Sus scrofa: one gene and its partners. The protein of the gene in region 3 binds, or shares a complex with, the protein of the main gene of each other region. Links are inferred from orthologs where the notes say so. Each region holds a gene or a part of one and is shown on either strand. Other genes may lie near its edges.

Region 1 (3,736 bases), on a different chromosome or scaffold from region 3:
GAAATGAGACCAGCTGTAGGTGAGCCTGGTACCAGCCCCAAGACACCAGGTCCTCATGTCCTCATGGGAGAGTCACTAACACTTGCCTTGACGTCCTTCTCCCAAACCTTCCAAATGCCCCATATGCTCCCAGTCACGGAGCCGGACTGCAGGTTCATCTTTATCCGCTCCCTCCCCACAGCTCGACCCAGCCCTCCTGGCCTGACTCCTCTTCTTTGTCCCCACCACCAGGCCCCAGCTCAGGCCTCGTCCTCTCCCCAGTGGACGCTCACCCTCCTTGCCCTTCTGGCCTCCAGTCTCTTTCTCCAGTCCATCCCCAACGAAGCCACAAAGGACAAAGGGGTCTTTCTACAACTCGAGGCCGAGCATACCCCTCCCCTAGTCACAGCCCTCCCACTGGTCACGAGGAACCCTTGGGACAAAGTCCCAGCTTCTCAGGCTGGCCCCAATCACCTGTCCAGTTGTGCTTCCAGCTACTCTAACCACAGTGATTTGCATTGTCTGCCCCAGCCTTCTATCAGAACCAAGCCCCTTCTCTTCGGCACATAGGAGTGCAGAGTCATGGCCCCTACCTAAAACATCCCCAGCCAGCAACACCCTTTTCCCCTCTCATTTGCCCAGAGAACTCCTACTCATCCTTCAAAACCCAACTCAAAATGTGCCTTCATCTGCAAAAACATCCTTCATCTACACTGGTCTGGTGCCACACCCAGGCCCTCACAATGCTTTGTGCTTCTTCATTATTATCTCTCCGGTTTAGGACTTTTCAGTGAGGGTCTGTCTCCCTCACCAAAGAAGGAGTCCTTGAATGTAGGACCAATTACTCTCAGAGTCTGCAGCAACGGCTGGCACAGGGCTGGTCGCAGCGGCAGTGCTCAGTGTGTGTTGAATGACTGTCAAAATCGGAGACTGGGAATTCCCTTGTGGCACAGCGGGTTAAGTATCTGGTGTTGTCACTGCAGGCCTGGGTCGCTGCTGTGGCTCAGGTTCCATCCCTAGTCTGGGAACTTCCACGTGCTGCAGGCGCAGCCAAAACAAAAACAAAAACAAACGACTCCAGAACCACCCCCCCAAAAAAAACAGGCACCGTGCTACCCTTGACAGACGGTGACCTCAGCCCCCTACTCACCACACCATTCACTGACAGCAGCTGGTCCCCACGCTTGAGGCCTCCGTGGCGGTCAGCCACGCCGCCGGGGATGACCCGGGAGATGTAGATGGGCGAATTCTGCTCCTTGCCCCCCATGATGTTGAAGCCTAAGCCCTCGTCCGTCTTGGGCAGTTCGACTACCCGGGGATGTGCGTGGCCCTCACTGGCCGTGAAGGCAGCCACCGTGGCCTGGGAGAGAGAAAGCCTCCGGAGGTTGAGGGCCACCCCCCACCCCCGGCCCCATGATGGGCATGCAGACTAGGGTGGAAGATCTGGGCCCTCGAGCTCGGGGCGCTTCCACCATTCAACACAAGAGCACTCCTTAGCGACCGTAAGTCCTCTTTAGTCCCTCTGGACCCCATCAAAGAGGAACGTCTCCACGTGGCATGCGTGAGTCTCGGAGACTCAACACTCGCCAATCTCACTTTTTAACAGAACGACAAGGCCTGGACAGAGCCAAGAGCCTCCACGAAGCAGCAAGGGAACAGCATCTAACTGGGGTTTAGTAAGATTTCGGGGTTTAACGCTATTTCACTGTCGAAGGTCAGCTTCCCGTCAGGCATTTGGTACTAGTTTCTATTTCTAGTGGCAAAAGACGCCTTTATATGACATTTAAGCGAAAGATGGGCGCGTATGTAAAATGCCTTATACTTAAGTAAGGCAGGTACACAGACACGGCAGAAGCCTGAAACACGGCTGACCGACGTGGGGAGGACGCTGAGCCAGCCCATCCCATTCGGAGGATGCCAGGCGCAGTGGGGCGAGGGGCGCCTACCTTGGCCGTGGCGTGGGCCCGGACCTCAGCACTGCCGGTGATGTCCAGCGTGTCATAGAGCTGCTCATAGACCTGGTGAGGACGCAAAAGCGTCGAGGAGCCGCCAGCCCCCGCCTGCCTTCAACCCAGAAGTCCGGGCCTGCAGACCCTCCCACCCGCAGATCCGCCCCGCCCCTGCAGCCCGGAGGCCGCGGGAACCACAATTCCCAATGGACACCTGAGCTGAAGCGCGGGCGCCCCAAAGGAAGGCCGCCCCGGTCGCTGCTGGGAGGCGTAGTCCCCAGGCTCGGGGCGACCCAGAGGAGGACGACGGCCGCCCGCCCGCTCGGGCCCTGGCGCTGCGTTGCTCTCACCTCCCGGATGGCAGAGCAGAAGCGGCTCTGCAGGACTCGCTGGAGGGCCTGCAGCTTCTGCGGGGGCAGCTCCCCGCTGCGCTGGAGCCGCTCGAGGAGCTCCACCGCCCGGGACACGTCTGCGGGGCGGGGGCGGGGCGCACAGACACAGAGTCAGAGACTGGAAGACGCAGCGAAGCCCGGAGATATGCGGCCGGAGACCGAGGAAGGGCGAGCGCAGACCCGGGGCAAGACAGCCAAGTCCCAGTCGGACAGCCGCAGAGCTGCCGGCGGCAGTGGAGAGACTGCCACCAGTCACCCTGCGTCCCCAGGATCCCCAGGCACACACGGCCGGAGGTGGGCGGCGGGCTCCCCCTCGCCGTCCAGCGGGCCCGCCGACCCTCCCACGCCCATCGACAGCCTGACTTGCTGCGACCCGCCCCGCCCACCCCCGCCGGGCCCGCCCACCCGCCTGGGCCCCGCCGGGGGAGGGGCGGGGCCCGGAGTCCGGGGCCCGGGTCCCGGACGCAGGCCGCGGCCGGGTGGGCAGGGCCGCCTGGCGCGCTTACCCCGCTCCAGCCCCAGCGGCTCCACCAGCGCAGCCATGTCTGCGCCGCCGCTGCGAGGCACCCGCCTGCCGGGTCGCCGGCGAGGAAGGCGGGGCTGCGCGAGGCCACGCCCCGGCGACGAGCGCCACCTGCAGAGGCGCGGCCTGGCGTGCGCACCGCCCTACCGGCCTCCGCTCGGGGCTCGCTCCCCTGCCCTCAAACTCCATCGGTCCGCTGAGTTTGTGACCGTCCATTGCAGCGTCTGCACCACCTTTCATCTCAGTCTATCTGAGCTGCCCGCCACACCTGTCTGTCCCCTGTCTATCCCTTTCTCCCAGATTTATTAGACAACTTGTTAAACATCTCGGCCCAAGATGACCGGCGTGGTGATGAGCAGGGTACACAAGTCCACTGCCGTCCTGGAGCTTAGTCGGGGGGTGGGGGGCGGGTAGACACTAAACTACGACCGTGATCAGAATTGGGATCCAGGAGGGACATTGACATAGAGTCCTTGGAGGAGAGCTCCAGAGGTGGCTCGTGAGTCACTTTCTAGACCGAAAGAGCCCACATGGTTGGATAGCAGAGTAAGAATTGGAGTTTTCTGGTTTTCTGTTCTGTCTTTTTTGTCTTTAGGGCCACACCGGCGGCATATGGAGGTTTCCAGGCTAGGGGTCCAATCTGAGCTGTTGCTGCCAGCCTACGCCACAGCCACGCCAGATCCGAGCCTGGTCTGCGACCTACACCACAGCTCACAGCACCGCCAGATCCTTAACCCACTGATCAAGGCCAGGGATGGAACCCGCAACCCCAATGGTTCCTAGTCGGATTCGTTTCCGCTGCACCACCAGGGGAACTCCATGAACTGGAGCTGTTTATGAGGAAGGTGAACAGGTCGGCAGGATGCGGTTGATGCACACAGCCTTGTATGCTG
Region 2 (3,653 bases), on a different chromosome or scaffold from region 3:
AAACATCTAAGTTTTAATATTGAAAAGGAAACCAGAGAAGGTATGAACAAGCAAGTTGCCCAGTTTTCCTTTGAAAGAAGAATTCCATACATTAACTGTTCACCTTGGGGCAAATTACAAAGAAATTACAAGCACACTGTAAACACACTTTAAATTGTACAAAGTTGTCAAAGCCGTCCCCTGTCCACGCTCTTCCAAACAACGGAATAGAATAATGCATGCTTAAGTGACCACTCTGTTGAGTGACCAAGTCAGCGATTGAGTGAATCAAGGAATAAATTAATCAATGAATACGCCTATTTTCCTGGGCTTAAAAATTCACAGATAAAAATTCACTCTGCTCAACAGCTATTTATAAACCTTTGCCTCTCTATTTAGACCAGACGTGGCGAAGGAGTGGTTATATAAGTTGCCTCCAGGGCTCTCCACAGTCATTTCTTAAACCCTGACTGTCTGCCTGGTTCTCGGACAGATGACTCAAGGCCACCGATGACTGGCTCCTTGCTAAATTCAAAGCTTTCTGTTTTCTCAGGCCACATCCACCTTGCGAAGCACACGGCAGAACAGAATACAATTTCTTAAGTCTCCAAACCTCTGTAACAGTCATAATTATGAATCTCAAGATACAATTTAAGTGTGCTTAAAATGCAAGGTATTTTTTTGTCACTCAATGTAATACTCATTTTAGTTCCCCTTCTGCTGGGGTGGTGAGAATGTAATCTGAGCCCGTGTCAGGTGGCCTTCTCTGCCACTCCAGTGCCCCTCTTCGGTGTCCTGGCAGTGTTTAAGCCCATATCAGTCCCTGTCTGCCACATCACACAGCGGTTTCTCTTCTGAGCTTTCCCAGGAAGCACTTGAGGTTATGTCTTCCGCCCTGGGCATCAGCTGAGAGGGAAGGACTGTCTCTTCTCTGGGTCCTAGAATGCCTGATTACAGCTTTCTTCTGTTTTTCTTCTTCCTAATTCCAACCCAGAGAAACTTTAGAAGGTTTAAGAGAAGCCCCTTGTTTCTTTTTTCTCTTCTGGCCGCCCCAAGGTACATGGAGTTCCCAGGTCAGGGATCAGACCCAAGCCATAGCTGCAGCAACGCCAGATCCTTAACCAACAGTCCCAGGCTGGGGATCAAACCTGCACCCGAGTGCTCCCAAGATGCCCCTAATCCTGCTGCACCACTCTTTGAGTTTACTTATAGTAAACATTGTTTGCCCAACTACTGCCTATGCCATGATGGTCAAAAGAGTATTTTGAAACTCAAAAGCCAAGAACTGATTTTTTTTTTTCTTTCTGTAACATGTCTTATAGGTACATATGTATATCTAAATACTTCCATAGTGAATTTCCCTGAGTCTTCCTTTTTAAAGGGGTTATCCAATGAGTAACAATAGTGCCCTCCAGGAAAACTGTACTAGGTTTTGTTATCTTTTTCACAGTAAGAGAGAATACCTTTTTTCTCTATCCTTCTCGGTACACCATATTCAAAAATATATCTTTACCATTTTAAAATCAAACTTATGGCTACTAAAGGGCAAACTGTGGGGTGGGAGAAGGAATCAATTGGGAGGATGGGATTAACACATACAAACGACTCTACATAAAACAGACAGCGAACCAGGACCCACCGTATAGCACAAGGAGGTCTACTCTGTAATAACCTATGTGGGAAAAAAGAATGGATATATTTATATGTATAACTGATTCACTTTGCTGTAACTTGAAACTATTACAATATTGTAAATAAACTATACTCCAAAACATTTTAAAAATAGGAAAAAAATTAAGTCTACACTTAAGTGTTAAAAATTTTTTTTTTCATCTATATTTCTTTATCAGGGAGCTTGGACTTTCTTCATAGGTTTATTGACCTTTTTTTTTTTTCCATTTTTCGCTCACACACTCGGCACATGGAAGTTCCCAGGCCAGGGATTGAATCCCAGCCACAGCTGCTACCTATGCTACAGCTGCAGCAATGCTGGGTCCTTTAATGTACCTCGCCAAGCCAGGAATCGAACCTGCACGCTGCAGGGACCCAAAGGCACTACGATTGGATTCCTAACCCACTGTGACACAGCAGCAACTCTGGCCATTTTTTGAAATGGTTATTAACTTGCCCATTTTGCTTAATCTTTATTGACTTGTAAGAGCACTTCGTTTGAAGAGTATTCGTAACAAATTGACTCCTGTGTTGAAAATATTTTTTTCCGTTTGCTACTTGACTTTTTTAATGGTGTGTGAGACTGAAAGGTACCGTTGTTAAATATGACTTTGTGGGGAGTTTCTTGCCGTTTTTACTTGAGAATTCCTTGTGCATCACCAGATGATAACATTGACCTGTGCTTCAGTTGTTTCATGGTTTTATTTTGACATGTGAATGTTTAATCATTCTGTTATCTTTCGCATAGACTGTGAGATTGGAGTCCACACTATTTTTTATCATTTAATTATTATCTGTCCCAGCATCAAGATTTAACAGTCCTTTTCCCGTTTGGTCTAAATCCTACATTTATCATAGGATAAAATTGTATGTGATGGATCTACTTCTAGACTCCATTTCCTTCTACTGTCTCTTACTACACCAATGAGACATTGCTTTCAGCATTGTAGATTCTTAATAAATGTTAAAATCAGACAGGCAAAGTCCCCCTTCCTTACTCTTTTCAAATTTTTTCCACGTTTCCGGAATAATTCATTTCCTTCCCCGGAAATTTAGAAAGCGCATTCTCAGTGTTAGTGTTATCTCTGAGGTCTTCATTGCCTCTCACCCTCCTAGCTTGAACCTCTGTCCTGCACCCCGGTGCAGCCTGATGGTTGGTTCAGCTACAAATGTAATAACTAATAATGATGGTAGCGAATCCCCTTTGCCATCTGGAAATTTCAAACCAGGACTATACTTTTGATACGAATTTTAAATTTGGCTCTAGAGCAAAGAATGTGGCAACTCTCCCCTTTAAGAAATGTCACTGTCTTTCCAGAGTGTGGAAGGGGAACACCATGAGAAAGCCGTGGAACTCCTCAAGGCTGCTAAGGACAGTGTCAAGCTGGTGGTCCGATACACCCCAAAAGTCTTGGAAGAAATGGAGGCTCGATTTGAAAAGCTCCGGACAGCGCGGCGTCGGCAGCAGCAGCAATTGCTAATTCAGCAGCAGCAACAGCAGCAGCAGCAACAAACACAGCAAAACCATATGTCATAGGTGAGAGGTGCCTTTTTCCATACAAGGAAAGTCCCTTACACATACAACTTCGGGTTTGTTTTTTTTTTAACATAATTTCTTAGACAGCTGGAACATAATCATTAGATTTAATACTAATATAAAAAATCAAACAAAAAACAATGACCTCAGAAAGTGTAAACCCCACAGTTGCTTCCTTTATGTGTGATTCAGCCACATTCTCAGCAAATTTAAGATATTTGAAAAATGACATACTTTGGGAGGGCTAGGTATAGACTGTACAGTGCCTATATGCAGAGTACAGAAATGCGGCCTCTATGCAAACCCATCCCCAGGCACGTGGCTGGACGACGGTGTGTGGGCTAGATTCCAGCCCCCCTCACCACCGTAGCTAGTTGCTTTTGCACATTGTACAAACTTAACAACCATGTAGAGCAGAGCCTAGGAAGCTCTCCTTTAGACTACTGAAGCACGGTTTACTAGCAAA
Region 3 (2,494 bases):
TAAGTGAGAAACTGGGGAACAGGGAGTAGTGGAAATCGATTTCTGAACAAGCGCTCCAAGGGCTGTTTGAGAAACACTGATTTATGCAACCTCTCCTCACTTCATCCCCTCCCACCTGTATTTCACTCACTGGGGCTTTAGTGCAAGCTGTCTCTGAAGCTTACGGTGGACACGATTTTTAGCGTCCCCACTGATCATTTATCTCATCAAGTCATCTCCCAATGACCACCCAGCGCCCGTCTCCCAGAAGACCGCGCCTAGAGCTGGGCAAGTCCGAATCCGCACACACTTACATCTCCATCCACCGGCCTCTGGTCGTCACAATCCTTGGTGGGACTAATATCCTGGCGCATGACCCAGATGGGCTCTTTGGGCTCGTCGGGGGTGTAAGGCGAACGGATGGTCCTGGTTTTCACTTCCTCGATGGCCTCCTTGATGTCCTTGATGGCCAGCGAGATGGCATCCCTTTTCTCCTTGCTGTACCGCTGCACCGCCTCGCTGCCCACGGTACCCGCCAGCCGCTGTTGCCCCGCCAGGGTCTGCAGGCCAGGGCTGTCGGGGCGGCCCCCGCCTGGGGTAGGAGCACGCTCCAAGTCCTGCTCGGCCTCGGGCATGTCCTCGGCTGCTTTGTCGAGGCTCTGTGAGCTCATGCTCTGCTTGACCTCAGCCACGATCTGGTCGATGTCCTCCTCCTGCTCGTAGCTGTCCATGCGCGGGTAGGGCGCGAACTCGGCCTCCTTCTCCGGGCTATCAGACTCGCCGTCGGAGCGTTCATCATAGTGGTGTAGCCGCGCGCCCAGGGCCTCCTGGCGATACGCAGCTGCTTCGTCGCGCTCCTGCTCGTACAGCCTCAGGCCGTCGTGCCCGTCCAGCTCGGGCGCGTCTCCGATCTCCTCGTACACGTGCTCCTGGAGGCCCCCGTAGTCGGCGTAGGGTTCAGCGTAGGGCTCGTCCTCGCCGCGGTGGAAGAGCCGGTGCGTGTAGACGTAACCCGAGTATGCAGCGTTCATGGCCTCCTCGTGTTCCAACGAGTGGAAGTGCAGGTGGTTGGGCAGTGTGCGGCGGTGCGTGGCCTCCGCATGCTCGGCCTCCGCCTGCTCCGTGTACTCCTCGGCCTCGGGTCGGTACTGCACGGCGTATGCGCTCTCGTCCTCTGGGTCCTGCGCGCGCTCGGCGTCGTAGCCGTCGCGGGCCGCGGCAATAACGTCGCCCTCAGCGGTGTCCGTGTGGTTGTGAAAGCCGCTCTCGGTGCTGGCAGAGCGCGCCAGGCACTCCCCGCGCTCCTCCTCTTCCTGCTGCTGCCCGGGCGATGCTCGGAGGTCTTCGACAGCGCGCCCGCGCGAGGGTCGGCCCCCATAGTGCTGCTGCTGCTGCTGCTCCTCCTCCACTTCGGGGTGCTCCAGGTCGGCCTCTACCAGCTCGTTCACCTCCCCGCCTGGCGCCTCGTCGGTCACTTCCACCTCCGCCTCCGCGGCCCCCTCCAAGTGGTTCATGGTGGGCGTCGGGGACGGCTGGGAGAGAGGTTGGGCCGGCTCAAAGCGCTCTCATTTTGTTCTGCCCGGCTGGAAAAACAAGAAGGGAGGGGTTGTTAACGTGGTTCAGACTGTAGTCAGAAGCTGAGTACCAAGATAACCATAAAACTAGCTGTTATTGATCCCTTCTGAATCAGGGTCAATTAAAAAGTGATTGCAAATGTAAGCTCATTCTGACGGCACGTAGTTCATCTTCGTAGCACGTGTCGTAATTTGTAATTACATAGCTCCTTGTTTAATTGCTTACTGGCTTTCTCCCTTCCCCACCCGTCTAACTGAGAGCCTCCTGAGCCTTTAGTTCCCCCACAGCTTACTATTCAGGTTCTGTTTCTGATGCATTTGAATAGAGAGTACTACTAAATTGAATGAGGCAATTGACACATTTTCCATCTGCTAAGAGATAAATCTCTGTAAATTAAACTAGGATCCTAGATACTCTAGAAACGATTCTTTAAATAATTTCAAGGGAAAAAATAATCTTGGAATGTTTTGAAGGCATTGCTGTCAATACAAATATGCAGCCGTTCTGAGGGAAGCCAGCAGCAGTATGTTCTAGTTGTGTCATTACTGGCTCTGTTGCCTTGGGTTGAGTGGCTTAATTTTCTGGACCTCCGTTATGAGACTGGACTCATTTCCTACAGCAGGATGTTAACAGTTATTACACAGAAGGGAAAAAAAAAAAAAAAAGACTCCATGGTTAAATAAGTTTGGGAAAGGCCAGCTGAGTGTTGACTTCTCATTATAAATAATTCAAGGGAGGAAGATAGACTGCAGGGTTCCCAAACCTGTCTGACTGGGAAATGCTTTTTTCCTAGAGGCCAGTGTTCTGAGACGTGCACTTAACAGAAACACTGACTAGCTGACTTCTAATACTCACTTCCCTCATACACCTAAAAATCTTTGATTCTATGAATTAGCATTATAGCTAATAACTAGATAACATGCTAATTTCTTTAAAATAT

The links.
Region 1: APBA1 (region 3) and LIN7B share a complex: the UniProt entries of both Homo sapiens proteins name them as parts of the brain-specific heterotrimeric complex. The link is inferred for Sus scrofa from reciprocal best matches to the Homo sapiens genes APBA1 and LIN7B.
Region 2: APBA1 (region 3) and LIN7A share a complex: the UniProt entries of both Homo sapiens proteins name them as parts of the brain-specific heterotrimeric complex. The link is inferred for Sus scrofa from reciprocal best matches to the Homo sapiens genes APBA1 and LIN7A.

What each region holds. Positions count from the first base shown.
Region 1 is NC_010448.4:54,308,715-54,312,450, reverse strand, and holds the start of LIN7B (protein lin-7 homolog B), read right to left. Parts: upstream 2,900-3,736; 5' UTR 2,864-2,899; coding exon 2,827-2,863; intron 2,398-2,826; coding exon 2,279-2,397; intron 1,998-2,278; coding exon 1,926-1,997; intron 1,340-1,925; coding exon 1,130-1,339; intron 1-1,129. UniProt on the Homo sapiens protein: Plays a role in establishing and maintaining the asymmetric distribution of channels and receptors at the plasma membrane of polarized cells.
Region 2 is NC_010447.5:100,669,503-100,673,155, forward strand, and holds part of LIN7A (protein lin-7 homolog A), read left to right. Parts: intron 1-2,968; coding exon 2,969-3,187; intron 3,188-3,653. UniProt on the Homo sapiens protein: Plays a role in establishing and maintaining the asymmetric distribution of channels and receptors at the plasma membrane of polarized cells.
Region 3 is NC_010443.5:222,836,497-222,838,990, forward strand, and holds part of APBA1 (amyloid beta A4 precursor protein-binding family A member 1), read right to left. Parts: exon of another isoform or gene 1,563-2,494; 5' UTR 1,494-1,562; coding exon 294-1,493; intron 1-293. UniProt on the Homo sapiens protein: Putative function in synaptic vesicle exocytosis by binding to Munc18-1, an essential component of the synaptic vesicle exocytotic machinery. May modulate processing of the amyloid-beta precursor protein (APP) and hence formation of APP-beta.